Linked DNA regions of Stegostoma tigrinum. The protein of the gene in region 2 purifies or fractionates together with the protein of the main gene of each other region. This does not show direct contact. Links are inferred from orthologs where the notes say so. Each region holds a gene or a part of one and is shown on either strand. Other genes may lie near its edges. The genes, in order: nup133, nup85 and nup37.

Region 1 (10,420 bases), on a different chromosome or scaffold from region 2:
TCAGTAAATATCCATTTATGAAGCACAAATACTTGCAGTGTATGGACCAAACCTTCTATTAAATCAGTGCAAAGGGCTAAACTACTGTCACTGTTGCTGCGCTCAGCCAGTGGATTCCACTGGAATAACAGATCAGTTCCATCGCCATGACACCTCGCAAGTTGTCGGGTTAATGAGTGCACTTACCATGACCACTGCTTCACAATTACTATTCACTACAGTGTTCTGCCTAGAGTCCCTGCTGTGTTCCACCTCATTACTTGGGATGACGATTGATGCTTACATGTCACTAAAAGGATGACATTGTTTCTGTACCTAGCCTGTCCCTGACAAACAATTCTAAAGGCAGAAATACTGCAGATGTTATTTTGCCTGTGAAACTTTGCAGGAGTTCAGTGGATAGTCCAGTATTCCTGTAAACACTTCAAAAGTAATAAAACAAAATTTAAACTTTTTACACTTAAGGTGAAAAGCAAACTTTACTGCCTCAGTGAGTACAGGAAACATTACACTTAGTGATTCAAAAGCTCCAAAATCAATTATTTATACACCATAATAAAACAAAGTTACCTTCAGCTAGGGTTATGGCCTCCATAACCTTAACAGGAAGAGAAGATCCAAAACTCCTGATTTCATAGTTGAGCGTCTCGCCAACTGTTTGATACTGTGCTCCTCTGGTTGGAGTTGGACTTGAGGAAGAAAAAATAATTCCAGTCAAAGTTCTCCATTACTATACTTGAAACAAATGCAGTCATACTTGGCCTAAGTATATTCTTACCGTTCAAATTTAGCAAATCAGTCAGAAACAATAGCAAATGTTCTACAAGAAAAAAATACTAATTTCACAGGGCCAAAGGAACACAGAGCTCAGAACGGCTAACTTTTTTTTCTAGTAAACTTCAGATGAGTCCAATAGTAAACAGCATCTGTGTAATCTCACTGTAATATAAACAGAGATTAGGGAATACCAGAGAGGTCAAACACAGAGATATCAAACTATTGAGTGAGAAAGGAAACTAAATTTCATTTGCGAAACTAAGATAACGTTATTCAAATTCTAAAGAAAAACCAAGTTTGCAATACTGGTGCCAGAATGATAGAATTCAACTTTGCCAGTACATTGAAACAAATTGTCATGTGAACAATACAAAGTATTTGAAAATGTATGAAGTCAACAAAAGTCCACATTCTGTGCTTGAAGCTGTTAATCTGCATGACACCTGAACATTTTTTTGAATAAACCAGTCACTTTACATCATAACTCTGTGGCTAACATATGCTGAGGAGGAAAACTGAATCCCTCTCCTGGTGGTAGTGGTATCTGAAAGGTATGATTCCATCAGTACAACTATGTCAGATTGTTGCTTATTTAATCTACAGAACAACTTTCCAAATTTTGATACATCTCTCCTGATGGTGGTAAGGAAGAATTTATGGATCAAAAGGGTTGTGTTTGCCATTGCTGTTTCTGGTGCCTAGGTCAACATCTTTCTGCGGTACCAAACTCCTGTCACTATGCAAGAGTAGTTTCTTCTCCCTTTGTGTTCTAACGGACTATTCACTACAAGGGATATTTAAACAGCCTAAAATAAACACTTGTAAACAAATAATCAATAACCCAGCACCTCTCTCAGAACTCAAAATCTAAACTGTAACTAAAACCATGTTTTCTCCGTTCCTGAAAGTACAAGTCAAACTTAAAGCTACATTTGGATCTGTTCACTTCAGAACCCAAGTTTCCAAAAATTGATCTAGCATAAACCCTCATCACAATAAACTGATCACTTACTCTTTGAAGGTAAAGAGGTTAGCTTTGAATTTAGCCACTAGCACAAACATTACCTAGTCCATTTACAACTAGATTAAGTAAGTGAATCACCTCTCATTTCACATCTTCCAAAGAATATGCATGATTTAAATAAATGTTGCACATTATCCAAACGCTCTATTTTCTCAGAGATAGTAAGAACTGCCAATGCTGGAGTCTGAGATAACACAGCGTGGAGCAAGAGGAATGCAGCAGGCCAGGCAACATCAGAGGAGCAGGAAAGCTGACATTTCTGGCTTGCTGTGCTCGTTCAGCTTCACACTGTGTAATCTCTATTTTCTCAACAGTTCCAAATGCTCCTTTGAATAGTTGCATTATCCTAAATGTGGATCATACCAATTTATTAAAGCCAGGATTACCTGTCTGTGTTACACTTTCCAATACTGAGTTCCATTCACCATACTTTCAAAAACTCCTACAGCACAACCTGACAAAACGATGCTGGCTTTCCTTGATTACTCCTTGCTTCTCCAAATGAAGATTAACTCTGTCCCACCACTGATGTTAGGCTCACTGACCTACAGTTCCCTGGTTTATCCCTACCACTCCACTGTACCACATTAGCTGTACTCCAGTCCTCTAGCACCATTCCCGTGGCCAGACAGGACTGAAAATTAAAGTCAGGACTTCAGCAATTTCCCCTTTGCCTCCCACAGCAGCCCAGGATACATCTCACGTGGGTCTGCCCTGTCTAAATCTTTCTTACTCTGTCTACACCATTTAGAACAAAGAACAAAGAAAATTACAACACAGGAACAGGCCCTTCGGCCCTCCAAACCTGCGCCGATCAAGATCCTCTGTCTAACCCGTCATCTATTTTCTAACGGTCTGTGTCCATTTGCTCCCTGCCCATCCATGTACCTGTCCAAGTATATCTTAAAAGACGCTAACGTGTCTGCGTCTACCACCTCCGCTGGCAACACGTTCCAGGCTCCCACCGCCCTCTGTGTAAAGAGCTTTCCACGCTTTTCGCCCTTAAACTTTCCTCCTCTCACTTTGAACTCATGACCCCTAGTAATTGAGTCCCCCACTCTGGGGGGGGGGGGGGGGGGGGGGGGAGAGGAAGCTTCTTGCTACCCACCCTGTCTATACCTCTCATAATTTTGTAGACCTCAATCAGGTCCCCCCTCAATCTCTGTCTTTCTCATGAAAATAATCCTAATCTACTCAACCTCTCTTCATAGCTAGCACCCTCCATACGAGGCAACATCCTGGTGAACCTCCTCTGGAACCTCTCCAAAGCATCCACATCCTTTTGGTAACGTGGCAACCAGAACTGTACGCAGTATTCCAAATGTGGCCGAACCAAAGTCCTATACAACTGCAACATGACCTGCCGACTCTTGTACTCAAATATTTAATATTGGAAAAGTTGAAATCCCAATGATCATCACCTCTATTATTTCTGCACATCTCTGAAATTACTTCTACCTTTGCCTAATTATTAAAGGGTCCTCTCGTACACTTCCATCAGGTGATTGAAGCTACCTTGCTGAATGTTTTTAAGGCAAGGCTAGCTAAATTTTTGGACAGTAAAGGAATTAAGGGTTATGGTGAGTGGGCAGGTAAGTGGAGCTGAGTCTCAAAAAGATCAGCCATGATCTTATTAAATGGCAGGGCAGGCTCGAGGGGCCAGATGGCCCACTCCTGCTCCTAGTTCTTATGATTGCTGCTGTTTTTTAATTCTACCCATAAGGCCTCAATTAAAGAACTAAGAAATCATCCTTCTGTAAAAGAACAAAAAACCTCAAAAAGTGACTCCTTGATCAATACTGCAACATTACCACCTTGCTTCTACCCACTCATCTTTTACCTGAAAATATTGTTGCAAGATTGCATCCTTCTTCCTACCCATGTCCCTGGCATCAATATGAACCACAACCTCAGAAGTAGAAAGAGCTGCCGATGCTGGAGTCAGAGATAACACACTGTGGAGATAGAGAAGGCCTGCTCCTCTGATGCTGCCTGACTTCCTGTGTTCCTGCAGCTCAGCATTAGTGTTATCTATGAACCATAACCTTATTGTACACCCCTAAAGGCCCTGAAGCTGTTCAGTGACATCCTTGACCCTGTCCTCAAGAAGCTGACACACTATCCTAGTGTCACAACCACAGAAATTGCTCTCTATTAAGTCTTCAACACTACTGCCCTTGCTTTCATAGTATCCCTAGCGTGAAAACTGGCCTTTTGGCCCAACAAGTCCATACTGACCCACCCCCCTAATCTCCACATCCCTGAACACTATGGGCAATATAGCATGGCCAATCCAACTAGCCTGCACATCTTTGGATTGTGGGAGGAAACCGGAGCACCCGGAGGTGCAGACACGGAGAGAACGTGCAAACTCCACACTGACAGCTGCCCGAAGGTGGAATCAAACCCAGGTCCCTGGCACTGTGATACAGCAGTGCTAACCACTGAGCCACCGTGCCGCCCCATTTCCTTCTGTTCTCCCAGCCCTGGACTTGTGCAGGGGTAGAGATAATGGGAACTGCAGATGCTGGAGATTCCAAGATAATAAAACGTGAGGCTGGATGAACACAGCAGGCCAAGCAGCATCTCAGTGCTCCTGAGATGCTGCTTGGCCTGCTGTGTTCATCCAGCCTCACATTTTATTATCTTGTGCAGGGGTAGCATCACTTTGATGCTTTTCTAGCACAAAATCTGCTGGCGTGTGAGATACGCCCTGGGGGTTTCCTCATTACAGGCCTGCCCCCGCGACTCCCCTTCGCCCATCCCCTGACTGCACTTCACTTTATGGTAGGAGGTGAATTTAAAAACATGTCCAGATGTGACCAGGTGATAGTCAAAGCTGGTGAGACCTGTGCTCATCAGGAGCATCGAGAGACTTCCCCATAACTCAGCCTGTACAACATTTCAGCACCGCGCTCCCCTGATTAAGGTGGTTAGTGTCGCACAGTGTTTTGTGGGATCCTGCCGTGCCAGGGACGTGACAGGCGCCAGGCAAATGCAGCCCTGACAACACTCACCGGCCGCACAGGCTGGAGCGCCAGGACGGAGAGAAAACGCCGCTGGCCGACACACTGCGCCGGCCCTGCACGGGAAAGCCGCCGCCGCTCCGGGTCAGCGGCGACCCAAAGCAACTTGAGGGGGGCCGCTTGGCACCACCAGGAGCCCGCGGGGAAAACATGCTGCAGACAGCGCGGGCCCCGCCGTTTAGGCCTCAGGCCTCCCGCACTCGCCGCCAAACCACTGCGCCTGCGTGACCCGCCAGGCACTGCAGAGTCTGATTGGTCACATTGGGGCATGGACGATATAAACACATTCCTGATTGGTGCTAACTTTAGAGATAATGGGAACTGCAGATGCTGGAGAATCCAAGATAATAAAATGTGAAGCTGGATGAACACAGCAGGCCAAGCAGCATCTCAGGAGCACAAAAGCTGACATTTCGGGCCTAGACCCTTCATCAGAGAGTTCATCCAGCCTCACATTTTATTATCTTGGTGCTAACTTTACACCCGTTGTAACGGAAGCTCCCATTGGTCAACAGCTGCCGGTGATGCTGTTTGACCTGCTGTGCCCCTTGTTATCCCAGAGAGAGAGAGAGAGAGAGCGGTCGGACCAAGGTGAAGACAGTCAGCCTAGGGGAATATATAGCTCTGTTGACTGCCATCAATGGCTAGTGTGTAATAGCAGACCATGGCATAACAAATAGGACCAAATTACTGCAGATCCTGGCACTTGAACTGTAAACAACAAATGCTGGAGATCACAGTGGGTCAGACAGCATCCATGGCGAGAAAACCGGACATTGGCCAATGTTGTCTCCTTGTTTAAGAAAGGAAGCAGGGATAATCCAGGAATTATTAGGCCCCTGAGCCTGATGTAAGTGGTAGGTAAGCTCTTGGAGAAGATATTAATGGACTTACTGAGTAATCAGCTGGAGGTTTCCTTGCCCATGTTTGACCTAAAGCCAGGACACCTCTTGGGGACCAGTCACTGTTATAGACAATAGGTGCAGGAGTAGACCATTCATTACGATCATTGCTGATCATCCACAATCAGTATCCTGTTCCTGCCTTATCCCCACAACCCTTGATTCCACTATCTTTAAGAGCTCTATCTATCTCTTTCTTGAAAGTATCCAGAGACTTGGCCTCCACTGCCTTCTGCGGCAGAGCATTCCATATATCCACCACTCTCTGGGTGAAGTTTTTCCTCAACTCTGTTCTAAATGGCCTACCTCTTATTTTTAAACTGTGTCTCTGGTTGAGGACTCCCAGGGCTACTCCCTCCCACCTGTATACCACTGTGCCCCCCACCTCTGCTGGGTCTACCCTGCCAATGAGACAGGACATATACAGGGATGGTGATGGTGGTATCCGGGATGTAGTCATACTCACAGAATCATATCTTACAGACAATGTCAAGCTGTTGCTTGACTAGTTTGTGAGACAGCTTTCCCAATTTTGGCACTAACCCCCAGATGTTAGTGAGGAGGACTTTACAGGGTCAACAGGGCTGTCTCTGGTGTTGTCTTTTCCGATGCCTAGATTGATGCTAGGTGATCTGTCTGGTTTTGTTTCTTTGAGACTTTGTAGTGAATGGTGCAACAGAATGGCTTGGTAAGCCATTTCAGAGGGCAACTGAGAGTCAACCACATTGCTGTAGGCCAGATCAGGAGGTGGCAGATTTTCTTTGCTAATGGACATAAGTAAACCAGACAGGTTTTTCCCCAACATTCGACAATGATTTCATGTCGATCAGTAGGTTTTTAAGTTCCAGGTTTTGTTTTCTTTACCTGTGACCGGCTTTCAAGTCAGGGTTTATGTGGCTTGTCCAGTTGAGGTTCTGATCAATGACCCCCAGGATGTTGATAGTGAGAGATTTAGTGATTGTAATACTGTTGGAATGTCAAGTGACGATGGTTAGATTGTCTCTTACTGGTGATGGTTATTGCCTGGCACAAAGGTTACTTGCCAGCTCTTGATGTGTTTGAACATGGACTGCTTCAGTATCTTAATACTACAAACATTAACAAACATCCCCACTTCTGACATTATGATGGAGAAGATTATTGAACCAGCTGAAGATGGGTGGATATAGTACACTACCCTGAGGACCCTCAAGCTGAGATGACTTAACTTCAACAACCACAACCACCTTTCTACATGCCCAGTATGACTCCAGTCAGTGGAAAGTTTGGCCCCAACATGCATTGATTCCAGTTTGCCTGGGGCTCCTAGTGGCTACAGCAGGGACCAGTGGCCCAGTGTGGAGTGTGGAAGCCCCCTGCACTGGAATGCTGTGGAGAGACTGTGATGTTTGTCTTTTTAACGGTGTTTCTTATTTTTCTGACCATGGTCGTACTATGTATAGCTGTAATGTAACATTTTTTCTTTCTTTTTCTACTCTATAACTAAGGATTGTATCTAAAGGTGGTGCTGTAAGTAGTGATTTATAAACTTTTTACTGTTCATTTTAAGTACATATGACAACAAGGCTAATTTAATTCTATTCAATTTAATTGATGCCACACTTGGTTGAATGTGGCCTTGATATCAAGGGCTGTCACTCTTATCACTCCTCTGGAATTCAGCTCTTTATAGCCTTTGATTCAAATATGGCCAAATGAGGTTACGAGCAGAATGGCTCTGGCAGAACTCAACTAAGTGGTCCTCAACAGATGCTGCTTGAAAGCACAATTGATGACACCTTTGATCATTTCACTGATGCAAGTAGACGAATAAGTTGGATTTGTCTTGCTTTGTGGGTACAGGACACAAGTAGGTAAGTTTCCACATGTTTGCAGCATTGCATATGACACTGTTATTTCTCCCTCCTTTCAATTTCTGATGTTGTTAATCTGTCTAGTACTTCTCCAACCTGATTCTTTCCTGCTTTTTCATCTTCTGTCGCTAACAATACATCGTCATGCTGCTTTTCCTAATTTCACTTCTTCATTTCAGCTGAAAGCTCTCAAGATGCTGGGCTCCAATTTTTCTGTAAATTCTTTGGTCCTTTGCTCAGTCGACCTGATTCCCATTCTCATTCACCAGAGCCATGTTTCAGAAGCTGCATCCCTGTTGTCTTCAGCATGGGAAACTATACTTCTGAAGTTTCACTGGACCTGAAATGTTCACTATGCTCTCTCACCACAGCTGGTGCCACATCTAAGTTTTCCAGCAAATTTCTTTTGTTATGAGAAGTAAACAAAGACTCAATTTAAAATAGGTCAGAAATTGATTGTTTTAATTTTACTGTAAAATTGATACTACAGATTCTCAAGGGTCAAACTTTTGTGAAGCAATTAAATTCATATTTATAACCACTCAGGATTGATTGTTCAATCACACTTCATCTATTAATCAAACATTTCACAAAATACAGTCTGTACAATGGTGAGTTTCACCAACTATTTCAAGTGTTTTACTTCATTATCGCAAAGGAATTTAGTATCCCTTGTACCATCTGCAGAAAGTTACAGAACAAATGTGAGACTACTCCGTCCTTAAAAGATGGTTCCCAAAATAGATTAAAAATGTTTTTAAAACTGTGGCAAAGAGAAGCTTTGGCAATTTAAAAATCTGCTTTTATCTTTCCCAGAGTCACTGTCAACCTTTCCTTGTATGAGACCTCACGCTGAAGACTTGTCCAACAAGGCCATGGAGAAACTGTATAGATTGTGACGCAGGCTTCCTCATTCTGTGGCTCACATTTGATATCTTTCACCATTTACTTCATTGCTACAGCTGAGATCCTGAACACTGTTCAGAATTACAAGTTTCATAACCTATTTAATAATCAGTGCTGCGATTAGTCAGAATCCAAGGCATTTCTCGGCTGTTTTGACCTGGAGGTATTTTTTTTCCTAAGAGGAGTAACATTTGGGAGCATTATACTTTCAACACAAGTTTTTGGTGGTTTTGTGAAATAGTTTGTTTCTCCACAAGCTTGCGAAATAATCCATCTGAATTTGAGAGGAGTTGCTGGTGGGTACCACACTCAACTATCCTGCCCTGGTCAAGGACTGCAACAGCATCAGCATTCTGGATGGTTGATAGACGATGGGCAATGATCAGCACAGTCCTTCCTACCATCAATCGGTCCAAAGCTTCCTGCACCAAATACTCATTCTCCGAATCCAGTGCACTTTAGAGAGAAGAAATGTAACAGCAAAATGAATAAGACAAAACAAAAATCAAATTAATCAAAATAAAATCAGAAAATGCTGGAAAAATACGGGTCTGCAGCATCTATGGACAAATTAACAGAGCTGAAATTGCATAACTTCTGAATTGAGAGGAGTGGAAAATTTTGTTTTTTTTTTAAATGCATCTGACAGAGGGGGTAATAGTGTGAATGGAACAGATGATGATGGTGCCTAGACCAATAGACAGAAATTAGGTGGTAAAGTAGCAAGCTTTAGAACAGCTGGAAATGACAGATGCAGTAAGGAGAACATGGGTCCACACTGTTGAGAGTGAAGCAAATTAGCCACAAATAGGGCACAGTCACAGTCAAAAAATAACAGAAGCCATCCTCTGATGTTCTTAAACACAATGTTGAGTTTTAAAGGTTGTTAGGTGCTAAGCAGAAAATGAGGTGTTGTCCCTCCAGTTTGCATGGAGCTTTGTTAAAACATGGTAGAAGGACCAGGACAGAAAAGGGAACACGCCAATATAAAGACCATCGCATTGTGAGCAATGAATGCAGTGGACTAGATTGAAAGTAGTATAATGTTGCTTCATCCGGAGGGTGTGTTTGGAGCTGTGGAAAGTGAGGAGACAGGTAATGAGAGGACAAGAGTTACACCTTCCACGATGGGAACAGTGATGATTAATGAGGGTGGAGGAGCTCCTGCAGACTACGAACATTATACTTTTACACAGAATCATCTGACTGTTATGGTCCAAATGAAATTTAAATTCACTCGAGATCAAGATCAAAGTAAATTTAACTTCGAATAAACTGCTGTCAAGTTACTGAAACCATACAGTTTCCAAAAATATATTCTTTCTGATAGGGTGCATAGGATATATTAACACTGATTTAACTGCTTACTTCATTCCCCAAATCCTGAAATTTAGGCCCATTTTAATAAGCCACACATTTATTTAAATAATTAGTTGAACCAGAGTGAACCTGGGGGTAGGACGGTGGCAGTGGAGTTTCCTGATAAAAGCTTGAAGGGCAGGGCACAGATCAAACTCAATCAGAGCAGCAGCAGCTCAGGAATGGAATGAACCTACACAGAATCCAGGGGCAGAGCTGCTGAGGTGATACAGGGTGAAAACCCTGGCTGCTTGGGGACCAGCTGCAGGGACTGAGTAGATAGTACAGAGAGTGAGACCGCGTGTTAGGAGTCCTTATTTTTGTGGTCTGCAGTTTGTTCGGAATAGAGCAAGACAGATAAAGAGAAATCAGATTTTCAGCGTAGTGGATACGGTTGATTACTTTGTTCCTAGTTTATTGTTTGTTGCTGGTAAGGTTCACAATGGCAAGAGACCTTGGCTTTGTGCAGTGCTCCTCCTACAATATGTGGGAAATTAGAGACGCTGATGAGGCCATCTGGGCAGAGTTTAGAAACCAATACAGACGATCATTTTGCTGGGATTGTATTACAGG
Region 2 (11,055 bases):
TTAGAGGGTTTTCTAGTGTGCATGGTTCAAGTACCCGCTGGATAAATTCCTACCCCTTTCTTCTAACCACTCAGTCACACAGAGTGCCAGTTGTTCCCTGGATAAACTCACTGATCTATTACGGAAGTACTGCGAATCTGGTGATCAGGCACAAGCAGGTCACTTATAGAACGGCGCCTTCCATGAGGCTTACTCAAGAAAGAAAATGAAGCAACTTTTTAATCAATTTTAAAAACACAAGAAACGGAAGAAGGAAGTTATATTCCTTTCTGAATCTCTAATGTTGTAGAGTAAAATCCTCACATCGTAATTTGCAACTTACCAGATTTTGCGGCGCTATGCAGTTCCTCCAGATAAGCTCTTATCACTGAACGATAGTTCCTGCTGATAGAAACTAACCTACAACAAAAAGCATCTGTTACTACATTGAAATAAAACTTGACAACACAACCATCAACATTCGATGGAATGTCAACACTGGCTGGAGCATTTCAGGGTTTACAAAGACTTCATACATACATACATACATACATGATACAAAAAAAAGCACAGAAGAGAGTAAATCTGATACTCAAATCCAGAATAATCAGTAACATTATGATTAAGGATCAAAAATAAAACTAAATGAAAGGCACATTTACAATAACATCAAGAAAGAATCAACATGTGGAACTGGACTCAAGTAATAGGACTGCATCCTCTGTTCATCCACATTTTACAACTTCCACAAGTTTTAAATATGCCAGTTCATCTTTCTTGGGTTCAAAGTGAATGACTTCAGAACACCTCATAAGTGCTATTTATATAATCAATGTCCTTTGGTATTTCCCTTCATTCATGTGTACTACTTCCTGAATCACGAAAAGGAGTCATTTGCAAACTTCCATATCCAACTCTCTATTCCTTCAGTGATATTTGTGAAGCAAAAACACACATGTAAATCCTTACAGAACATCAAGTCACATCTTGTCAATCAGAAGGCCTTCTATCTCGACTCTGTCTCCTAACTCCCAATTTACAAGGTTACGGTACCTTCATAATTCTGTGTGCGTACAATTTGATTAAGAATTCCGTGGAAATTTATCAAGCCAAAGTCCAGAAAGACAACATGCACAAGCAATTGTTATTGATTACCTCAAGAAATTCAATAAATCAGTTAGACACGTCCCATCACTGTCAAATTCACACTGCCCCTTTCAATTCAAATTGTGACTCAGTTCTCAATCATTGACTAATAAAATTAATATTCCCACAACTCTCATTACCTTGATGAATTTGTAATTATGACTTTCTCTCTTTCATTCTTCTATTGCACAGAGATCATTTATAGTTTTCTCATTATGTAACTGAAACATGCCAAAATGTTCAAAATATTCCATTTTATTTCATATTTATAGTATACTTACTATTGTTACATTTACAATTTTTCAATTACTTTATTCACTGTGGTGTGTGTGTTTATGTGTATGTTGAGAGGAGTCTAGTCAATGCTCAAAATATTTTTAAAGAACCCATAGGATTTGTCTCACACTTCAGTTTTCCTCCTTAGTGTTTAATTTACTTCAGGCATTTTATTGCCATTTTCCATTAGCTGGCCTGAGAAGACAATTACAGATCTACAAAGGATCTTGTCAGCCTCTCATACTAGCCTTCACAATTTCCTACTGCACAGTCGCCACACTTCATAATGATCTACTTTGCTTTTGAGATGCAAAGAAGCTTGTGAAAGTACACTACAAATACAAGCCTGTGTTTCTTATACCCACTAACAGATACTGCAAAGGAGAACCAGTTCCAATTAATCCCCTCCCTACCTCCCCACCTACACTCTCTCCACCTATCTTCTTTACTCTCCATCTTCGGTCCGCCTCCCCCTCTCTCCCTATTTATTCCAGTTCCCTCTCCCCATCCCCCTCTCTGATGAAGGGTCTAGGCCCGAAACGTCAGCTTTTGTGCTCCTGAGATGCTGCTTGGCCTGCTGTGTTCATCCAGCCTCACATTTTATTATCCCAGTTAATTCGTATTAGTTTTTTGCAACAAGCAAAATACCTGAAGATAGTAAGCCATGTGTTATATTTCAGAGTAAAAGAAAATCTTGAAGTCCGTTTCTACTCACTCTGCTCTCTGGGTTGTGCAATCGTGTTTGGATTTCTGAAGAGTCATGAAGATGCCATGTGACTCGTTGAAAAGTTTACACAGAATTGGTGAGTATATATCTTTGTCGCTGTAGACAACTTGAATGGAGGGCATTCTTGGGGAGCTGTCTGGTGCAGTCTCTGGGGTATGAACAGAAAGGAGGGCTGGGAAATGCAAATGTATGGTCTGCATAAAGCATACCAGACAATAATGCTTTTCAGCTACATTTGATTAGTCAGAACAATTAGAAATGGCTCTCGTAAGGACCTAGTGAATGAAACCACAACATATCACAGCACTAAGCCATGAGTCTGAAAAATTTAACATTTGATTCCAAATCTATTTTCTTAGTTGATCTCAACCAGGGAGCGACCAGTTTCCAAAATATTCACAGTCCATCTTTTATATCACTGCACTTAATCAGAATAATCCAATATTATTCACCAGTTTACCACATACCACCGTGCACTTTTTTATCCAAATCAGTCCCACTGATTGACTCTATCCCCAAAGCAGTATCTTTCTTTTTAATTATTTAAACATTTTGTGACGCTATTTGTCTCAGCTATTCCCTTCAGCAAAGTAATTCATGAGCCCAGTATCTAAAAAACGATGTGCTGGCATTGGAGGGGGCTCAGAGGAGGCTTACAAGAACGAGCATGGGAGGAAGGGTTTGTTGTACGAAGAGTGGTCAAGTACTCTGAATCTGCACTCAAATGGAGTTTAGAAGGCCTTGGGGAGAACTCACTGAAAGTCACAAGATAATGAGGGGCCTAGATAGAGTGCATGTGAAGAAGATCTTTCCACTAGCAGGAGAGACTAGGACCTGGGGCACAGCCTCGGATGACCCTTTAGAACGGAGGTGAAAAAGAATTTCTTCAGCCAGAGGGTGGTGATTCTGAAACTCAACGGCACAGAGGGCTGTGGAGGCCAAGTCATTGGATTTATTTAAGGCAGAGATAGATAGGTTCTTGATTGTTAAGGAGATCGAGGCTTGTGGGGAGAAGCAGGAGAAGATTTAGAAGCATATCAGCCATGATCGAATGGCAGAGCAGACTTGATGGGCTGGACGGCCTAATTCTGCATACACATCCTATGGTACTTCACACTTTAATGACATTCAAATCCTGTGATGCCTTTTTGACACTAACTTTCAAAGCAGTCAAGTCTCATGCAACTGGAGTACCCCCAATACCATGGTGAACCAACCACGCTCCCAAAAAAAGTCTGTACTGTAACACATGGGCTTAATGCTTACCTTAAGCTATTTCTCTATCCTGCTCCCTATGCAGGGTCTGATAGATATGGATCTTCCATTCATTTTACATTATTTCCATTCTTTTCCTTTTGGTTCAGTCAATGAAATTTTTATTCCAAACGATTCATTCTCATGTCAACGAAATGGAAAAATGTAAATGTATGATATTTGCAAATAGATTGGAGTGAACTGTGCCAGGACCGAATAATGCAATGATATTGTACACAAAAATGGTTTTTACTCCCATTTTGCCTTAATATAGCCATCCAATTAATTCCATTTCTCTAATCTTCCATCAACTTCCATATTTCTAAATATTATGATTGAACCCATTTTCATCACTTTTTTCAGGCAGTTCATTTCAAGTCACAACAATACATATTATGTCACGTTGCTTTTGGTTCTTTGTCAACTTCTTATCCTTACTTACTTTTATCACGTGTTGGAGTGTACGCAGAAGTATCTCCATTTAGGCTTTAAAATCCGATGCCAAAATTTGTCAGGTTAAAATGATTGGGACAAGAGCAATTTCTCATTATTCTAAATTACTTAAGGTTGTTTAAAAATAAATAATCAGAAAATCACAGTACCTGTCTGATCATGCCGTGTCGGATACAGCAACATTTGAGTAGGGCCCCATTCAAACCCGATGAACTCTCCAACATCCACTCCTGGAATATCCTAGGAACAACAACAACAGAGAGAAAATTATTTATTTGAAACTCTGTTGTTGGAGAAATATTTTACTGTCTCTCCGAAGAACCGCTGATCTGTCAGACATTGATTTTCAAAAGAAATGTCTGTCCTCATCAGGTGAATACAAAAATACCCTTGAACGTGACTGAAAGATAGCAGGTAAATTCACTTCAACATTCTACCCAACATTTGTTCAACCAGCATCACTAAGACCGGAACATCTGGTTATGTTCATGTGTGTAGGTTCTAACTGTGAGCAATTTGGGCGTCGCATGACATCAGCAACAGCACTTCGAAAGGGAAGGCCGACGTGCATTTTAGTAGCATATCCTCGAACATCCCAATTTGGCTTACAACCGATTAAGTATTTTTGAAGTGTCGAACATGTTGTAGAAAAGGATAATCAACGAATAGTTACACCACAGGAGATTAATTGGCCCACCAGTCCGCGTTGCCTCTGTAAAGAACCTCGGCCATTTCTACTTTCTCAATTTTCCCTGCAGTTTCGCAAAGAAAATACTCCGCGGACCTCAAAAGAGTTTGGGGTGTTTCGAGGTTCTGTTTAAGAGTAGGTCTCCCTCTCTAAAAATGTTCTACCAGGCTGCGGTCCCGGGTCACACGGGAACAACCATCCGATTGTACAACAACTGCTCCGGAGACACTCTTCCTGGCACTGTCTAATGGACGATCGGAAAAAAACTTTCTTCCTCTGTCGAATCCCACCTCTTCGTCTCCCTCACCCTCACCATTGGGATCGGCTCATATTCCTGAAGTGAATCCTCCATCGCGCTCCCTTGGTCACGCCGCGCCGCCCGCTCATCAAGGACCCCATCACTGGGGCGGCCTCTTAGTTGCCTGATCAGCTGATTGTATCCACCACTGAACCACAAACACGCGGTTTCAACAAATGCTGGGCCTGATCTAAATGTTGTCAAGCGGCGACGGTTGAAGAAAATTCCGCTAGTTTCCCAGCATTAACGAACATCAGATAAAACGTGGTCAGTGCTACAGACTGGACCAAGATGAAAAACAGCTAATAGCCCAGATTCCGAAATCACCTTTAGCGAGTCTGTCCTGTTCCACTGATGGAGCAAACCCACAGAGTCAGTTGTATCTTAGCGTCTTCAATGTAATGAAACGAACTTTTCACTGGAACATCATAAAACAATATTTGACACATTAAGAGATATTAAAACAAACCAAAAGCTTGTATCAGAGAAACTATTTAATGAGCAACCTAAAGAAGGAAAATAAGGTAGGTGGGATGAGGGAAGATATTCCAGAAATTAAGATCCAGTCACCGTCACACAAGGGACCAGAATCGAAGATGACATTATTTGGAGGTGGTGGAAGGACTTGATAGTAAGGTTGAAAATTTTGAAATCAAGACATTGCTGGTGTGGTAGACAACGTCGATCAACAACCAGGAGATGGTGTGTAACTTGGTGTGAGTCAAGACTTAGGTTTAACCTGAACTCAAAAGAGGCAACAATGTTGGAGAACAACCAGTATTGCTTATAAATGGTCAAGTCTAGAAGTAAACAGGGAGCATGAATGGTTTCCATAACAACTGAGCTGAAAAAGATGATATTAATAAGTAGAGATAACAAAGTGTAGAGCTGGATGAACACAGCAGGCCAGGTAGTGTCAGAGGAGCAGGAAAGCTGACGTTTCAGATCTGGACCTTCTCCAGAAAACGTCAGCTTTCTTGCTTCTCTGATGCTGCTGGGCCTGCTGTGTTCATCCAGCTCTGCATTCTGTAATCTCAGAGCATCAGCAGTTCCTACTATCTCCATACTAATAAGTTGTCTTAGTGATGGCACAGATCTATGAGAACATAAACTCATCTCAAAGTGAAATTTAACACCAAGGTTCTTAATCTCAAGTTGCAGCCAGGAAGAGGGAAGGGGTCTAGCCAGGGAACAAAGTTTAAAGCAGAAACCAAAAATGACGGCTGCAATCTTCCCAATATTGGAAAAAAAATTCTGCACAGCTATGCACATATCAGGTGATAAATGTCTCATAGATTAACAACAGTGGAGGAGTCAAGAATGACGAAGTGGATTTGGGTGGCATGTACACATGAAAACAAATGTTGTAATCACTGAGGGGCATAATGTAAATGAGAAATAGGAGAAAGCTGAGAAACGATTTCTGAGGGGACTCCAGAAGTAACAGTGTGAGACCAAGAAGAGAACATGTGATTTTTAACCGTGTTTAGATATATAAAAACACAAGTAGGTGACAGTAATCTCATCCAGCTGGATGACAGGCAAGAAGAGTTTTTTTATTCATTAATGGGATGAGGGCATCACTGGCTTGGCAGCATTTCTTGCCCGGGGGCAGTTCAGAGTCAACCACATTGTTGTGGGCCTGGAGTCACATGTAGGCCAGACCAGGTAAGGATGGCAGTCTCCTTCCCGAAAGGACATTAGTGAACCAGATGGGCTTTTCCCTGACAATTGATTCATGATTGTCATTAGATTCTTAATTCTAGATATTTTATTAAATTCACATTCCACCATCTGCCAAAACAGGATTTGAACCCAGGCCCCAGAATGTTATCTGGGTTTCTGGATTAACAGTTCAGCAATAATACCACTAGGCCATTGCCTCCCCTCAAGAGAGGATAATATGGTCCACTATGTCAACGGCTGCAGAAGAGTCAGGAAGAATAAGGAAAGAAAGTTTACTTTGTAGCAATTTACCTTTGCATACAGTTGGGAGAAGTGGCTCTGAGAGTCTCAGGCATCTGGTCAAATGGGCAAGGAAACCTCCTGCCGATGAACACCTACTACCTTCCCTCAGTTGAGCAAACCTGTGCTCTAATGTGTTGAATATGACTTGGTGGAAGCATTGAGGATAGGAAGGGCACAGATGATCCCTGCCCAAGGACTGAACGTCCATTAACAGGCTGCCTTGGTAGCACCACAATTGACCAAGCTAGCAACATGTAGATGAGGGTAGTGCAGTTTATATAGTCTACACAGACTTCGGTAAGATCTTTGACAAAGTCTCACTTGGCAAATTGGTTAATTTGTTCATGGGGTTTGCTCATGGCTTAAGAGCTCATGGGATCGGGGGCAGTTTTGGAAATTGGATCCGGAATTGACAATGGCAGGAAGTCTGGGGGGGTGATAGTTGAACGGTGATGTTGAACTCACACTTACGACATTTGTTAGACCTTAGCTGGAATATTGTGTACAGTTAGGAAAGATGTGTATGCATTGGAGAGACTGCTGATGCAAATTTAAATGAATGGATCTAGGAATGAAAAATTTCAGTAATGAGGACAGAAAGAATAATATAAACCCTACAGCGTGGAAGCAGGCCATTCAGTCTATTGAGTCGACAGTGACCCTCCAAAGAACATCCCATCCAAACCCACCACCGTACCCTATCCCTGCATATCCCATGGCTAATCCACCTACCTTACAGATCCCTGAACTAAGGGCAATTTAGCATGGTCAATGGACCTAACCTGCACATTTTTGGATTGCAGGAGGAAACTAGAGCACCCAGAGGAAACTCAGGCAACCTTGGGGAGAATGTGCAAACTCCAAACATACAGTGACCCAAGGCTGGAATCAAATGCGGGCCCCTGGCACTGCATTGCAGCAGCACTAACCACTGAGCCACTGTGCTGCCAATAGTTTGAAGTTGGGACTGTTTCTCCTTCCAGATAAAAAGGCTGATTAAGATTTGATCGAAGTTTTCAAAATCTTGAGCAGTCACATAGATTAGGCACTGAGAAGTCATTCACATTAATAAAACTGAGGTCATAGATATGTAAAAGAAACAGGGTGATGTGAGAAAAACATTTTTCACACAGTGCGTAGTTGGGATATGGGATGCATTCATTGCGTGGAAATCTGGTGAAGGTAAGTTAGGTTGAGACATTCAAGAGGTCATTGGATGATTATTTGGATGGAAATAGTGTGCCAGAATATAGGGAAAACGCAAGAGGTTGGTGCAAGGCAGTGATGCTAATTTGAAGAGCTGGTGCAGGCATGGGGGGATGAATAGCCTCCTTTTGCACTGTAACTATATGATTCTATGGGATTTTTGTTACTGGAAGTCTGTGTCCAGTGTTATGCCAAATGGCTCCATGCTGGATTCTTACTATTGATGATCTAGACATGAGTCTAGGAGGTAAGATCTGTAGTATCAGAGATGACAAGAAAATTGATGGTGTGGTAAATAACAAGAAGGAAAGCCTTACACTACTAGACTATTTTGCTGGGCCAGTCAGATGAGCTAAATGGTAGCAAATGGAATTTTTTCTTGAAAAGTGTGATGTATTTTGTAAAGACTAATAAGGCAAGGGAATAAACGTTAAATGGTAGGACTCCAGAATATACAGAGGAACCTTGGTGTGCATATCCATAGATTCAGCAGGATAAGGTAGCTGTAAGATAATTGCCATTATTAGTCAAGGGATTAAATACAGGTGCAAGAAGTTTAAATGGAGCTGTATATTACGTTAGATCATGAGAGAGGTGCAAAGGAGATCCACTAGGACATTGCCTAGGCTGGAGTAATTCAGCTATGAAAAGAAACATTAGATAGGCTCAGAGATAATGGGAACTGCAGATGCTGGAGATTCCAAGATAATAAAATGTGAGGCTGGATGAACACAGCAGGCCAAGCAGCATCTCAGGAGCACAAGCTGCTTTGTTTTCTTTGCAGCAGAGAAAGCTGAGGGGAGCTGATTGAGCTGTACAAAGTTGTGAAAAATTAGATAGAGAGAAATGTTTCCCCTTAGTAAAGCGGTTAGTAACCAGGGACATAATTTTACGACAAGAAGTTTAGAGACATTTAAGGGGTAAAAGAAAGAGGATAATGGATATCTGGAACCCACTGCCTAAAAGGATGGAAAAGGTAGTAACCCTCAAAACACTTAAGGAGCATTTGGATGAGCGCGCAAAGTCCTAGGGCTGTAATTGTTTATTATCTATGTTAATGAAGAAGCAAAAAGGAATGTATCCAAATTTACTGACGATACAAAAATAGGAGGCATGGTGTAATTGAGTCATAAGGAATTTTCAAGGGATGTAGATGAGTTAGTGGACAAAAACTTTGGTAGGAAGAATGTCTGACATTACCCGAAAGAATTGTTCACACTAGGTCACTTGATATATTTAAGGAGGAGAGAGACAGATTTTTGAAATATAGAACAGTTGAGGACTCTGAGGAACTGACATGAAAAATAGTTGAGGTCTGGGGAAAATCAGTCAGGATCTTATAGAATAGCAGAATAGTCCCGAGGGGCTGAATAGACAAATCCTGCTCCTATGTCTTAGATGCAAAATTGCAATAACTCTACTTGCAGTGCTTTTGGTATGTCCATAAGGACTCTCACTAACTTTTACAGATACACCCTATGATCAACCTGTCCAAACAAAGCTTTTCACTGTACTTGGGTACACATGATAATAAATCAAATCACATCTTTAAATTTTTGGATTGTACCGAGGTATCGATCATGGAAAGTCACCTGATATTGACGGCATTTAAAATTTCAAAATTTTTAAAATTTCAATTTTGAAACCTGAATTGGAAGCCAATATATTCTTGGGAAGGCATTCATTTTCAGCAGCTTTCATGGTACAAATAGGACAATCAGTGATATGCAAAAATGCATGATTTTGACATTGGTCATGGTAATGACACTTAAAGACCATTCGTGGGGATATGGGGTGCAATAGTCAGTTTGAAACAGAGATTCATAGTCAAAAGTAGTGATGAGAGAGACACTCACCAGACTTAATGTTTCAAGTCTGATATGCCTGTTCCTCTTTTCTGAATAAGTTACATCAGACTTGAGAATTAAATCATCTTCTATCTCAATGGATGCTGCCAGATCTGCTGTCTCCTGCATTTTCTGTTATTTCAGATCTTCAATCTGTAATGTTTGATTTTTATAATATGATAGCGTCACCCTTGGCAGTTTTGAAAGATTACCGGAATTGGGAACTGTACAGAAGAACAAATCCCAAGAATGCCCAGAGACCGAACAACAGGGTGTTTTAGATGCAGCTATAACCATCATCAACAATTCAGAACAACTAGGTTTTTGCAATACTCATCAAGCAAAGGGAACTGCACTGATCTCAAGAAGCTTTAGCTTAGTAATGGAAGTTAAAGCACAAATGCAGTCAGTTGCGCTGTTCTGAATGCAATCCATCTTGTTTGGAGTGCATTGGCTATAATGTTACCTCGATCCTCTAAATAGTAAGGATAGAAGGAATTTGAGAGTTCTACATGCTTCAGGTTTGAGAATGACAACACACAAAATCCATGAAAAGAGTGATAATTCCCTGTAAAATAACGGGGGGGGGGGGGTAAAAGGAATTGCCTTATTCACCTCCAAACCCCATCCTTCGAGCCTCCACTTTGTCACGCTTCCCGCCCGCCCCTCCTGCTTCTTCTCGTTTCACCTTTCCTTCACCCAGTGCCACTATCCCCTCCACCCCCCTCTGACCCAAAGCCCCTCCGCCATTCTTCCAACCGTCCATGCACGCGCACCCACTGACGTATTCAGAACCGGCGCTTCGCGGTCACGTGTCCCTCCCGGCGGGAACGCGTTCTTGGACCCCGCCCCTTTCCCGGTCCATCTACCAACCGGCTGGGAGAGACCGTTTCGCGGGAGCGCGCACGTAGTCTGCAGCCAACTTGCGTGCGCGCGAACGAGATGCATCGGGGGCGCGCGTTTGCCTCCCCTCCCCGATTCTCCTGCTCCCTCTCTCTGACTCTTTGTGCTGAGGAGACGCGGGCGAGAAGACACAATGGCGGATGAAAAGCCTAAGGTAACGGGGCGGCATGAGGCAGCTTCGGGCTTAGCAGTTGGAGTCCCGCCTTCCTCCTGTCGTTCTCTTCGTTTCTCGGCCTTCAGGATTTGGTTGTTTGGTTGGAGGCCGCTCCCTCCCTCGTTCGGCCCTGTTTGAAATTTTGCCGCCATATTC
Region 3 (10,501 bases), on a different chromosome or scaffold from region 2:
CTTGTCTGCATTAAACTCCATTTGCTACCTCTCAGCCCATCTCTGCAGCTTATCTATGTCCCTCTGTAACCTGCAACATCCTTCTACACTATCCACAACTCCACTGACTTTAGTGTCATCTGCAAATTTACTAATCCATTCTTCTACGTCCTCATCCAGGTCATTTATAAAAATGACAAACAGCAGTGGCCCCAAAACAGATCCTTGCAGTACACCACTAGTAACTGAACTCCAGGATGAACATTTCCCATCAACCATCACCCTCCGTCTTCTTCCAACAAGCCAATTTTTGATCCAAACCACTAAATCACACTCAATCCCATGCCTCCGTATTTTATGCAATAGTCTACCGTGGGGAACCTTATCAAATGCTTTAATAAAATCCATATACACCACATCAACCGCTTTACCCTCATCCACCTGTTTGGTCACCTTCTCAAAGAACTCAATAAGGTTTGTGAGGCATTACCTACCCTTCACAAAACTGTGTTGACTATCCCTAATCAAATTATTCTTTTCTAGATGATTATAAATCTTATCTCTTATAATCCTCTCCAACACTTTACCCACAACCGAAGTAAGGCTCACTGGTCTGTAATTACCAGGATTGTCCCTCCTTCCCTTCTTGAACAAGGGGCCAACATTTGCTATCCTCCAGTCTTCTGGCACTATTCCTGAAGGTAATGACAACATCAAGATCAAAGCCAAGGGCTCTGCAACCTCCTCCCTAGCTTCCCATAGAATCCTAGGATACATCCCATCCAGCCCAGCGGACTTATCTATTTTCACACATTCCAGAATTGCTAACACCTCCTCCTTGTGAACCTCAATGCCATCTAGTCTAATAGCCTGTATCTCAGTATTCTCCTCCCTGTCTTAAAACTGTGAGCCCTGGTAATTGATGCTTCTATTAAAGGGAACTATTTCCACTTATCTACCCTGTCTAAGCCTCCTTAAGTAACCTCAATCAGGTTACCCCCAGCCTTCTCTGCTCTAAGGAAAACAACTTCAGCCTATCCAAAACAAAAACCAAAAGAACTGCGGATGCTGTAAATCAGGAACAAAAATAAAGTTGCTGAAAAAGCTCAGCGGGTCTGGCAACACAAGTGGAGAAGAAAACAGAGTTAACATTTCGGGTCCAGTGATCCTTCCTCAGAATTGATAGTGGCTGGGAAAATGTCAGTTTATATGCAAAAAATAGGGAGGTGGGTGGGGTAGGGAGTAAACGATATGATAGAGCCCAAAGAGATAGAAAGACAGTGGGACAGACAAGAAGTTGCTAACAATCAGGCTGGGAGGGTGAATAGTTGTAAATGGGCACTGTTAGTGATTAACAACAGGGGGTGTGTAATGGCAGGCTATGTGGTAACAAGGCCTGGTGTGTGGGTGAGGGCTGGGACATGGGAGAGTTTAGGCCCTAAAATTATTCAACTCAATATCGAGCCCAGAGGACTGTAGGGTCCCCAAGCGGAAAATGAGGTGTTGTTCCTCCAGCTTGCACTGGGCTTCACTAGAACAATGTAGCAAGCAGAGACGGAGACATAGACCAGGGAGCAGGATGGTGCATTGAACTGGCAGGCATCAGGTAGTTCAGGGTCTTTTTTGCAGGCAGGTTCTAGATGTTCTGCAAAGCGGTCGCCAAGTCTACACTTTGTTTCCCCAATGTAGAGGAGACCACATTGTGAGCAGCCAGTGCAGTAGACTAGATTCTGGGAAGTGCAGGTGAAGTGTTGCATCACCTGGAAGGTATGTTTGGGCCCCTGGATACTGGGGAGGGAGGAGGTTAATATGCAGGTGTTGAACCTTGGCCAGTTACAGGGGAAGGTGCCGTGGCAGTGTGGGGAGGTGTTGGGAGTGAAGCTAGTGTGAATGAGGGAATCCCAGAGGGAATGGTCCCTGCGGAAGGCTGACAAGGGAGGGGAGGGGAATATGTGTTTGGAGGTGGCAGAAATGGCGTCTGATGATCTGGATGTGGATGCTGGTGGGGTGATCAGTGAGGATTTGGGGAACCCTATCGCTGTTGCGGGAGGGAACAGAAGGGGTGAGGCGGAAGTGCGGGAGATGGGTGAGACCCAATTGAGGGCCCTGTCGACAACGGAGCTGGGGAATCCTCGGGCGAGGAAGAATGTGGACATTTCAGAGGCTCCCTTGTGAAAGTGCGCCTCATCTGAACATATGCGACAGAGACGGAAGAACTGAGGCTCCCTTGTGAAAGTTCACCTCATCTGAACATATGCGACGGAGATGGAGGAACTGATTTCTAGAGGACCGAGGATTCCCCAGCTCCATTGTCGACAGGGCCCTCAGTCGAGTCTGACCTATCTCCGCACTTCTGTCCTCACCCCTTCTGTTCCCCCTCGCAACAGCGATAGGGTTCCCCTTATCCTCACCTACCATCCCACCAGCATCCACATCCAGAAGATCATCAGATGCCATTTCTGCCACCTCCAGCCAGGTGCCACCACCAGAAGCATATTCCCCTCCCCTCCCCTCCCTTGACCGCCTTCTGCAGGGACCATTCCCTCTTGGGACACCCTGATTCACACGTCCTTCACCCCCAACACCTCTCCACACTTCCAAGGCACCTTCCCCTGTCACCAGCGAAGGTGCAACACTTACCCGTTTACCTCCTCCCTCCCCAGTATCCAAGGGCCCAAACATACCTTTTGGGTGAAGTAACACTTCACCTGCACTTCCAAGAATCGAGTCTACTGCACTCACTGCTCACAATGTGGTCTCCTCTCCCCAGTGTGGGGAAATGAAGCGCAGACTTGGCGACCGCTTTGTAGAACATCTATGTTCTGCTCGCAAAAAAGACCCTGAAGTTGCCTGCCACTTCAATGCACCATCCTGCTCTCTGGCCAACATCTCTGTCTCCGGCTTGCTACAGTGTTTCAGTGAAGCCCAGCTCATGCTGGAGGAACAACACCTCATTTTCTGCTTGGGGACCCTACAGCTCTCCAGACTCAATATTGATTGAATAATTTTAGGGCCTAAACTCCCCCATGTCCCAACCCCCCCACCCCACACACCAGGCCTTGTTACCACATAGCCTGCCATTACACACCCCCTGTTGTTAGTCACTAACAATCCCCATTAGCAACTATTCACCCACCCAGCCTGATCGTCAGCAACTCCTTTGTCTGTCCAACTGTCTTCCTCTCTCTTTGGGGTCTATCTTATCGGTTACTCCCTACCCCACCTACCTCCCCATTTTCTGCAAATAAACTGACATTTTCCCAGCCACCATCAGTTCTCAGGAAGGATCATCGGACCCAAAACGTTTTCTCCTCCACAGATGCTGCCAGACCCGGTGAGCTTTTCCAGCAACTTTGTTTTTGTTCAGCCTGATTTTATAGCTGAATCCTTCCAGCCCAGGCAAATCTTGGTGAATACCCTCTACACCCTCTCTAGTGCAAGCACATCTTTCCTATAAGGTGGTGCACACAGTACTCCAGCTGTGGCCTGATCTTACGTACAGCACCATCATAATCTCCCTGTTGTTGTATTCAATGCTTTGACTAATAAAGGCAAGCATAGAAATGTGGTTGGCTCTTAACTGCCCTCTGTAAGCCACCCAGTTCCAGGGAGGACCAATAAATCCAGAAAATCCCGGAAATGAAAATAAACCCATTCATTGCTTGTAAGGTGCCTAGGGAGTACTGCACCCACGCTATGTTTTGATCAGCTCAATTGTTGTTCGGTGGCCCTTGCTCTGCATACAGCATCACAAAACTCAGTTGAAGGTAAAAACCCCAAAGAACTGTGGATGCTGGAAATCAGAAACTGATGGAGGGGGAAAAAACACTCAGCAGATCTGGCAGCATCTGTGGAGAACGCAGAATTAACGTTTCTCGTTCACTGGCCCATCTTCAGAATTGATTTTAAGCTAGGAAAAGGTTTATAAAAATGCTGAAGATAGGGTGGGGGTAGAAGTAAACGATACGTGGAGAGGGAACCCAGGCAGAGAGAAAAAAACATACTTGGGCAGACAAATGAATACAGGTCGGCCTCGAAAAATCAACAGCTAAACAAGAAAAAAGATTAGAATGGAAATCCTGTGGGAGAGAGGAGCAGATCTTCTTCAAGATGAGCATACCTCAAAGAGATGTTTCAGTGCAGCTTTGTTTCTGTGGCACTAGATGGGTTCCGACCTACTTCTCTTCCTTATCCCTTCCTCACCACCTCCCTGTCCCCAAAACAGTCACACGTTCCCAGAAAAGAACCTGCCAGGACAGCCCACCTGAAAGCGGCAGCTCCCCACCACGATGTAGTTGTCGCCTCCGTAGGCGACCAGGCTGCCAGTGCCGCAGTCCTCGAAAGGGTTAAACTCCACCACGTGCACTGTCTCGTCGGTTGGCACCGTGTGCGTGGCGCCCCGCGATGCCGCCTCGTTCACCATCATCGTCGTCTCCGCTTTCCAGTCCCGGAACCCGGGGAGATTGGAGGGAATCCCCGATGGAAAGCTCAGACTCGCCAGGAAAACCCTCAATGGAACGTTCAGACACAACCCCTCGTCGCTGATTGGCTGCCTCCGCTTCGCTTCCGGGAGGAAAGTGCAACATTGTAACGGCAACGCTCTGATTGGTTACAGCTGCTCCGGCCCGGGACTTTTAAATTGGCCTGGAGTTGGGTGTGGGTGAAAAGTCCGTGTGGGATCTATCTTTACCCTTAAGTTGGGAAGAGAGGGATGTAGAGTGAGGCGTTGTGTTAGTGCTGACTTCAGGCAGGGCTGGTTGGTGAGTGAGACAGAGCCAGTGAGAGCTTGGGCACTGTCGTTGGAGATTGGGAGCTGGTCTGCGCAAGTGACAGTTGGTGAGTACAAGAACTGAGGAGTCGCTCGCTTTCAACGGCGAGCCTCAAATTGCCTGAACCATGCTATTGAGCTGGAGACAATAGCAAAATGCTCGCGTTTGCCTCCTTATTACGAGAATTCCAGTGTATTGAACCGAGAACTTGTCTGCCTATATATGCTGAATGAAGTATTTTTAAACACTACTGATACTGACGGGTGTTTTTTTTTGTGTCTCGCGGGAAAGGTATTGGTTAGTGCATAACATGAAGGTTTTTTCTATTCACTTGTGGAATGTGGGCACTGCTGGCCAGCATTTCTTGCCCATCCCTAGTTGCCCTTTGAGAAGGTGGGGGTGATTTTTGCCTTCTTGAACTGCTGGGGGCATTTAAGAGTTAAGAGTCAACCACACTTCTATGCTTGCCTTTTAGTCAAAGCATTGAATACAACAGGGGGTTGACCCTCTGGGAGGGCATTCCAGCATTTTTGACCTAGTGACAAAGAAGGAACAATGATATTTCCAAGTCAGGCTGGTGAGTGACTTAGTGGTGGTGTTCATATAGAAACTTTGTTCAGTGTGCAAACAGGCCCTTTTGGCCCAACAAATCCCCACCCACACTCTCAGCATCCCACTCATTCTTCCTATAACCCACATCCCTGAACACTATATGTGCTATTTAGTGTGGCCAATCCACCTAGCCTGCAACACTTTGGATAGTGGGAGGAAACTGGAGTGCATGGAAACCCATGCAAACATGGGGGGGAAAAATGTGTCAACTCAACACACTGCCTGAGAGTGGAATTGAACTAGGCCCTTGGTGCTCTGAGGCAGCAGTGCTAACCTCTGAGCCACCATGCTGCCCTGAGTCATAGTCAAATTTATATAAAATAGAAATAGACCCATCAGTCCAACTTGTACATTCTGTCCAAATATCCTAAACCTAGTCCTGTTTGTCAGCATTTGACCCAGGCCCATGTATCTGATGCCCTTGCCCTTCTGGGTGGAAGTGGTTGTGGATTTAGAATGTACTGTCTGAGGTTATATGGTTACTTTCTCAGGCTGTTTGTAATAACCTGGAGAAGTTTTAATGGAATAAATTCAGTCTTGGGTGGGTTTTAATTGGGGGTGGGGAGAAAAACTGTTGCTGACCCTTTAGTTATTGGTTGCCATTAAGTTCTGAACTCCAAATCCATCTAGGAACCTGATGGAGGACCCTGACCCAAGAAGTTGACTTTCTTGCTCCTCTGCTTGACTTGCTGTGTTCCTACAGCCTGAAACTGTGTAAGCTTTGAGTCCACCTGATTTGTTTTCTCCCCCCCCCCCCCCCCACCCCCCCAAGCTAGTGACATGGCCTCTTATGTATGATATATCTCCTTACACAACCCTGGACACTTAGGTGGATTGGCCATGCCAAATTACCCCAACTGTATACATAGAACAGTACAGCACAGAACAGGCCCTTCAGCCCACAATGTTGTGCTGACCAGTGATCCTCATGTATGCACTCTCAAATTTCTGTGACCATATACATGTCCAGCAGTCTCTTAAATGACCCCAATGACCTTGCTTCCACAACTGCTGGCAACGCATTCCATGCTCTCTCAACTCTCTGCGTAAAGAACCTGCCTCTGACATCCCCTCTATACTTTCCACCAACCAGCTTAAAACTATGACCCTTCGTGCTAGCCATTTCTGCCCTGGGAAATAGTCTCTGGCTATCAACTCTATCTATGCCTCTCATTATCTTGTATACCTCAATTAGGTCCCCTCTCCTCCTCCTCTTCTCCAATGAAAAGAGACCAAGCTCAGTCAACCCCTCTTCATAAGATAAGCCCTCCAGTCCAGGCAGCATCCTGGTAAACCTCCTCTGAACCCTCTCCAAAGCATCCACATCTTTCCTATAATAGGGTACCCAGAACTGGACGCAGTATTCCAAGTGCGGTCTAACCAAAGTTTTATAGAGCTGCAACAAGATCTCACGACTCTTAAACTCAATCCCCCTGTTAATGAAAGCCAAAACACCATATGCTTTCTTAACAACCCTGTCCACTTGGGTGGCCATTTTAAGGGATCTATGTATCTGCACACCAAGATCCCTCTGTTCCTCCACGCTGCCAAGAATCCTATCCTTAATCCTGTACTCAGCTTTCAAATTCGACCTTCCAAAATGCATCACCTCGCATTTATCCAGGTTGAACTCCATCTGCCACCTCTCAGCCCATCTCTGCATCCTGTCAATGTCCCGCTGCAGCCTACAACCGCCCTCTACACTGTCAATGACACCTCCGACCTTTGTCGTCTGCAAACTTGCTGACCCATCCTTCAATCCCCTCGTCCAAGTCAGTAATAAAAATTACAAACAGTAGAGGCCCAAGGACAGAGCCCTGTGGAACTCCACTCACCACTGACTTCCAGGCAGAATATTTTCCTTCTACTATCACTCGCTGTCTTCTGTTGGCCAGCCAATTCTGTATCCAGGCAGCTAAGTTCCCCTGTATCCCATTCCTCCTGACCTTCTGAATGAGCCTACCATGGGGAACCTTATCAAATGCCTTACTGAAGTCCATATACACCACATCCACAGCTTGACCCTCATCAACTTTTCTAGTCACATCCTCCAAAAACTGTAAGGCATGACCTACCCCTCTCAAAGCCGTGTTGACTGTACTTGATCAAGCCATGCTCTTCCAGATGGTCATAAGTCTTATCCCTCAGAATCCTTTCTAACACCTTGCAGACGACAGACGTGAGACTTACCGGTCTATAATTGCCGGGGATTTCCCTATTTCCTTTCTTGAAGAGAGGAATTACATTTGCCTCTCTCCAGTCCTCAGGTACGACTCCCGTGGAGAGCGAGGATGCAAAGATCTTCGCAAGTGGCGAAGCAATTGCATTTCTCGCTTCCCAAAGCAGCCGAGGAGAAATCTGATCCGGGCCTAGCGACTTGTCAATCTTAATGTTTGACAAAATTTTCAGCACATCAGCTTCGTCTATCTCTATCCATTCCAGCATGCACGCCTGCTCTTCAAAGGTTTCATTCACTACCTTTTGGGCTATGGGAGGAAACCTGCACAGACACAGGGACAATGTACAAACTCCATACAGAGAGTCACCTGAGGCTAGAATTGAACCTGGGACCCTGGCACAGTTAGCAGCTGTGCTGCTCAAAAGAGGGCACTGATACTTTTAGCTTAGTACAAGCTCTCTGTTTATCAATTTAGTGCCACTCTTCCTGCTCCCAGTCACTGAAAATGACTAGTCAGTGGCTGGGCCAGCCCTTCAGAACTACTTCAAGCACTGAGATGCTGCCTTAGAGCTGTGGTTACGCATGCTGTGGATATCTAGAATTTTGACCCAGCCATGCAGAATGGAGGGTGATAATAGAAGGTGGCATGTAGTTTGAAGTAGAACACAAGGGATTAGATGCCTGATGACTGGCTGGAAGACAATCCCATGATGTAAAATTCTGATTTACAGGCAAGGGTTTCCCCAAGCATCTGTTGCTGATGTTCTAAATAGTTGAGGTCATGAGTTTTGGAGAGTGTAGCAGGGCCTTGTTGATTTGCTACTGTGGGTTGGTGCTGGTATATAATCTAAACTTTTTTGAAAGCTATTGAATCTACTTCAATCCTGCTCTATTTTGTGGATAAGTCACTTTAGTGACCAAATTACAAAATTGATAAAATGTCTCCAGGAATGGTGTATATGGAAATGGTTAGATTTAATTTTTTTTAATAAAATGCAAAAGGGTGGAGACTGGGACTAGACATCTGGCCAGGCATTCTGCTGTCCTTTAATCACTCCAAGGGATGGATTGAAGTAGCACTGGCCTTTATAGTTTCCCATTTATCCAAACTCTGCCAAATCATATGCCATTTCCCTTGGACATGCTTTAAACTGGTCTCATACTGCATAGTGACAATAAGATATAGTTGCAGAATTAGGCCATTCAGTCCATTGCATCTGCTCTGCCTTTGATCCTAACTTGTGTTTCTCAGTCCCAATCTCCTGCCTTCTCCCTGTAACCATTGACCACCTTACTAATCAAGATCTTGGCTTAAAGGCACCTGATAATTTGGCCTCCAGTCTTCTGCGGGAATGAGTTTCATGAGTTGCTACCTCCAGGCTGAAGGAACTCCTCCTCATCTCAGTTCTAAAGGGTTGGCCCTTTGCTCTGAAACTGTCCCTGAGGTCCTAGTCTCTACTCTTGGAAATGTCTACTCTATTCAGACCTCTCTATATTCTACAAGGTTCAGTGACATTCCCATGCAGGATCCTAGAGGTAATTTCCTAAACTTCTCTGGAAGTGCCATAATGTTAAGATTTGTAACTCTGGTTGAGGCTCTGGATGTGAGTTTGCTCACTGAGCTGGAAGGTAAGTTTTCAGATGTTTTGTTACCCAGAATGGTGACATCAGTGCTGGTGTTATGTCCCACTTTCTATTTATCTGTTTAGGTTTCCTTGGGTTGGTGATGTCATTTCCTGTTTTATCCCAAGAGGATGGTAGATTGACTTGGAGCCAATGTGTTTGTTGATGGAGTTCTGGTTGGAATGCCATCCTTCTAGGAATTCTCATGTGTCTGTTTGGCTTGTCCTAGGATGGATGTGTAGTCCCATTTTCTTGGTCCCTCCAGAAAGCGGACAAGGGTGGTGATGGAAAAATGGGACAACACATCCATCCTAGGACAAGCCAAACAGACATGCACGAGAATTCCTAGAAGCATGACATTCCAACCAGAGCTCCATCAACAAACACATTGATTTGGAGCCAATCTACCATCCTCTTGGGGATAAAACAGGAAATGACATCACCAACCCAAGGAAACCTAAACAGATAAATAGTGGGACATAACACCAGTGCTTCATTGGAGGCTCACTGTTACCTAGAATGGTGACAAAACATCTGAAAACTAGCCTTCCAGCTCAGTGAGCAAACTCACATCCAGTGCTATAATGACATTGACTGACTGCTGTGGTTCAAGGAGGGTCGCCAGGAATGTTTTGCTGTGATCTCTAGTGTTATATAAATGCTGCAGCATTTATGAGCTGACTCTCTGGTAGGAAAATAGGTTCCTAGTGCCAAACTTGGCTCAGTTCTTTAACTTCAATGTCTTTTGTCCCTTTGTTCACTTAATATGGCATTGACAGGATGATTTGATGAAAGCTGACTGAGAAGAGGATGGAATTGTCCTATAATTGACCATGCTGGATAGCAGAGATTAACTAAAACACTGTTCGTTTGCAGGATCTGGCCATCAGAGTATTCGAGTGGTCATAAATTCACTTTGGACTGCAATCATTTCAGAGTGCACAAATAGTCAATCGCATTGCTTTTGGTCTGGAGTCACATAGGTTGGATTAAGGATACCAGGCTTCCTTCTCTAAGAACATTAGTGACTCAGATGGGAGTCTAGAAATCTATTAGTCAATGAGAATAGCATTTTAAAAATGCATCCTTTTATCAATAAAGATACTAATTAAAAGTAGTAGGACAGTAGCCCACACCCCACATTGAATTAATTAAATTGGCAGTATTATTTGGCTGTGTTGGAATCTGAACTCTCATCTCATCTCTGGATCATGAATTGTGACATCTTGGTTTCTAGCTTGATATCCTATGCACTACAGATTCAACAAATGTTCTGAAGGGATGCACAAACCAAAAGGACAACTAGCAGTGTAAGACTTAGTGGATTGCCCTTTCAAAA

Evidence for each region.
Region 1: the proteins of nup85 (region 2) and nup133 purify together in Homo sapiens (affinity purification with mass spectrometry; 5 studies listed by BioGRID and IntAct, with this or other methods). This does not show direct contact. The link is inferred for Stegostoma tigrinum from reciprocal best matches to the Homo sapiens genes NUP85 and NUP133.
Region 3: the proteins of nup85 (region 2) and nup37 purify together in Homo sapiens (affinity purification with western blotting; 4 studies listed by BioGRID and IntAct, with this or other methods). This does not show direct contact. The link is inferred for Stegostoma tigrinum from reciprocal best matches to the Homo sapiens genes NUP85 and NUP37.

What each region holds. Positions count from the first base shown.
Region 1 is NC_081362.1:765,600-776,019, forward strand, and holds the start of nup133 (nuclear pore complex protein Nup133), read right to left. Parts: upstream 5,037-10,420; 5' UTR 4,980-5,036; coding exon 4,819-4,979; intron 690-4,818; coding exon 571-689; intron 1-570. Other genes in the region: abcb10 (ATP-binding cassette sub-family B member 10, mitochondrial), read right to left, coding at 8,689-8,944. UniProt on the Homo sapiens protein: Involved in poly(A)+ RNA transport. Involved in nephrogenesis.
Region 2 is NC_081375.1:37,003,310-37,014,364, reverse strand, and holds the start of nup85 (nuclear pore complex protein Nup85), read right to left. Parts: upstream 4,941-11,055; 5' UTR 4,876-4,940; coding exon 4,837-4,875; intron 4,788-4,836; exon of another isoform or gene 4,688-4,787; intron 4,650-4,687; exon of another isoform or gene 4,509-4,649; intron 4,076-4,508; coding exon 3,985-4,075; intron 3,524-3,984; exon of another isoform or gene 3,395-3,523; intron 2,301-3,394; coding exon 2,117-2,300; exon of another isoform or gene 2,100-2,116; coding exon of another isoform or gene 2,082-2,099; intron 400-2,081; coding exon 323-399; intron 1-322. Other genes in the region: small ubiquitin-related modifier 3, read left to right, coding at 10,879-10,899. UniProt on the Homo sapiens protein: Essential component of the nuclear pore complex (NPC) that seems to be required for NPC assembly and maintenance. As part of the NPC Nup107-160 subcomplex plays a role in RNA export and in tethering NUP96/Nup98 and NUP153 to the nucleus.
Region 3 is NC_081371.1:60,075,846-60,086,346, forward strand, and holds the start of nup37 (nucleoporin Nup37), read right to left. Parts: upstream 4,512-10,501; 5' UTR 4,406-4,511; coding exon 4,244-4,405; intron 1-4,243. UniProt on the Homo sapiens protein: Component of the Nup107-160 subcomplex of the nuclear pore complex (NPC). The Nup107-160 subcomplex is required for the assembly of a functional NPC.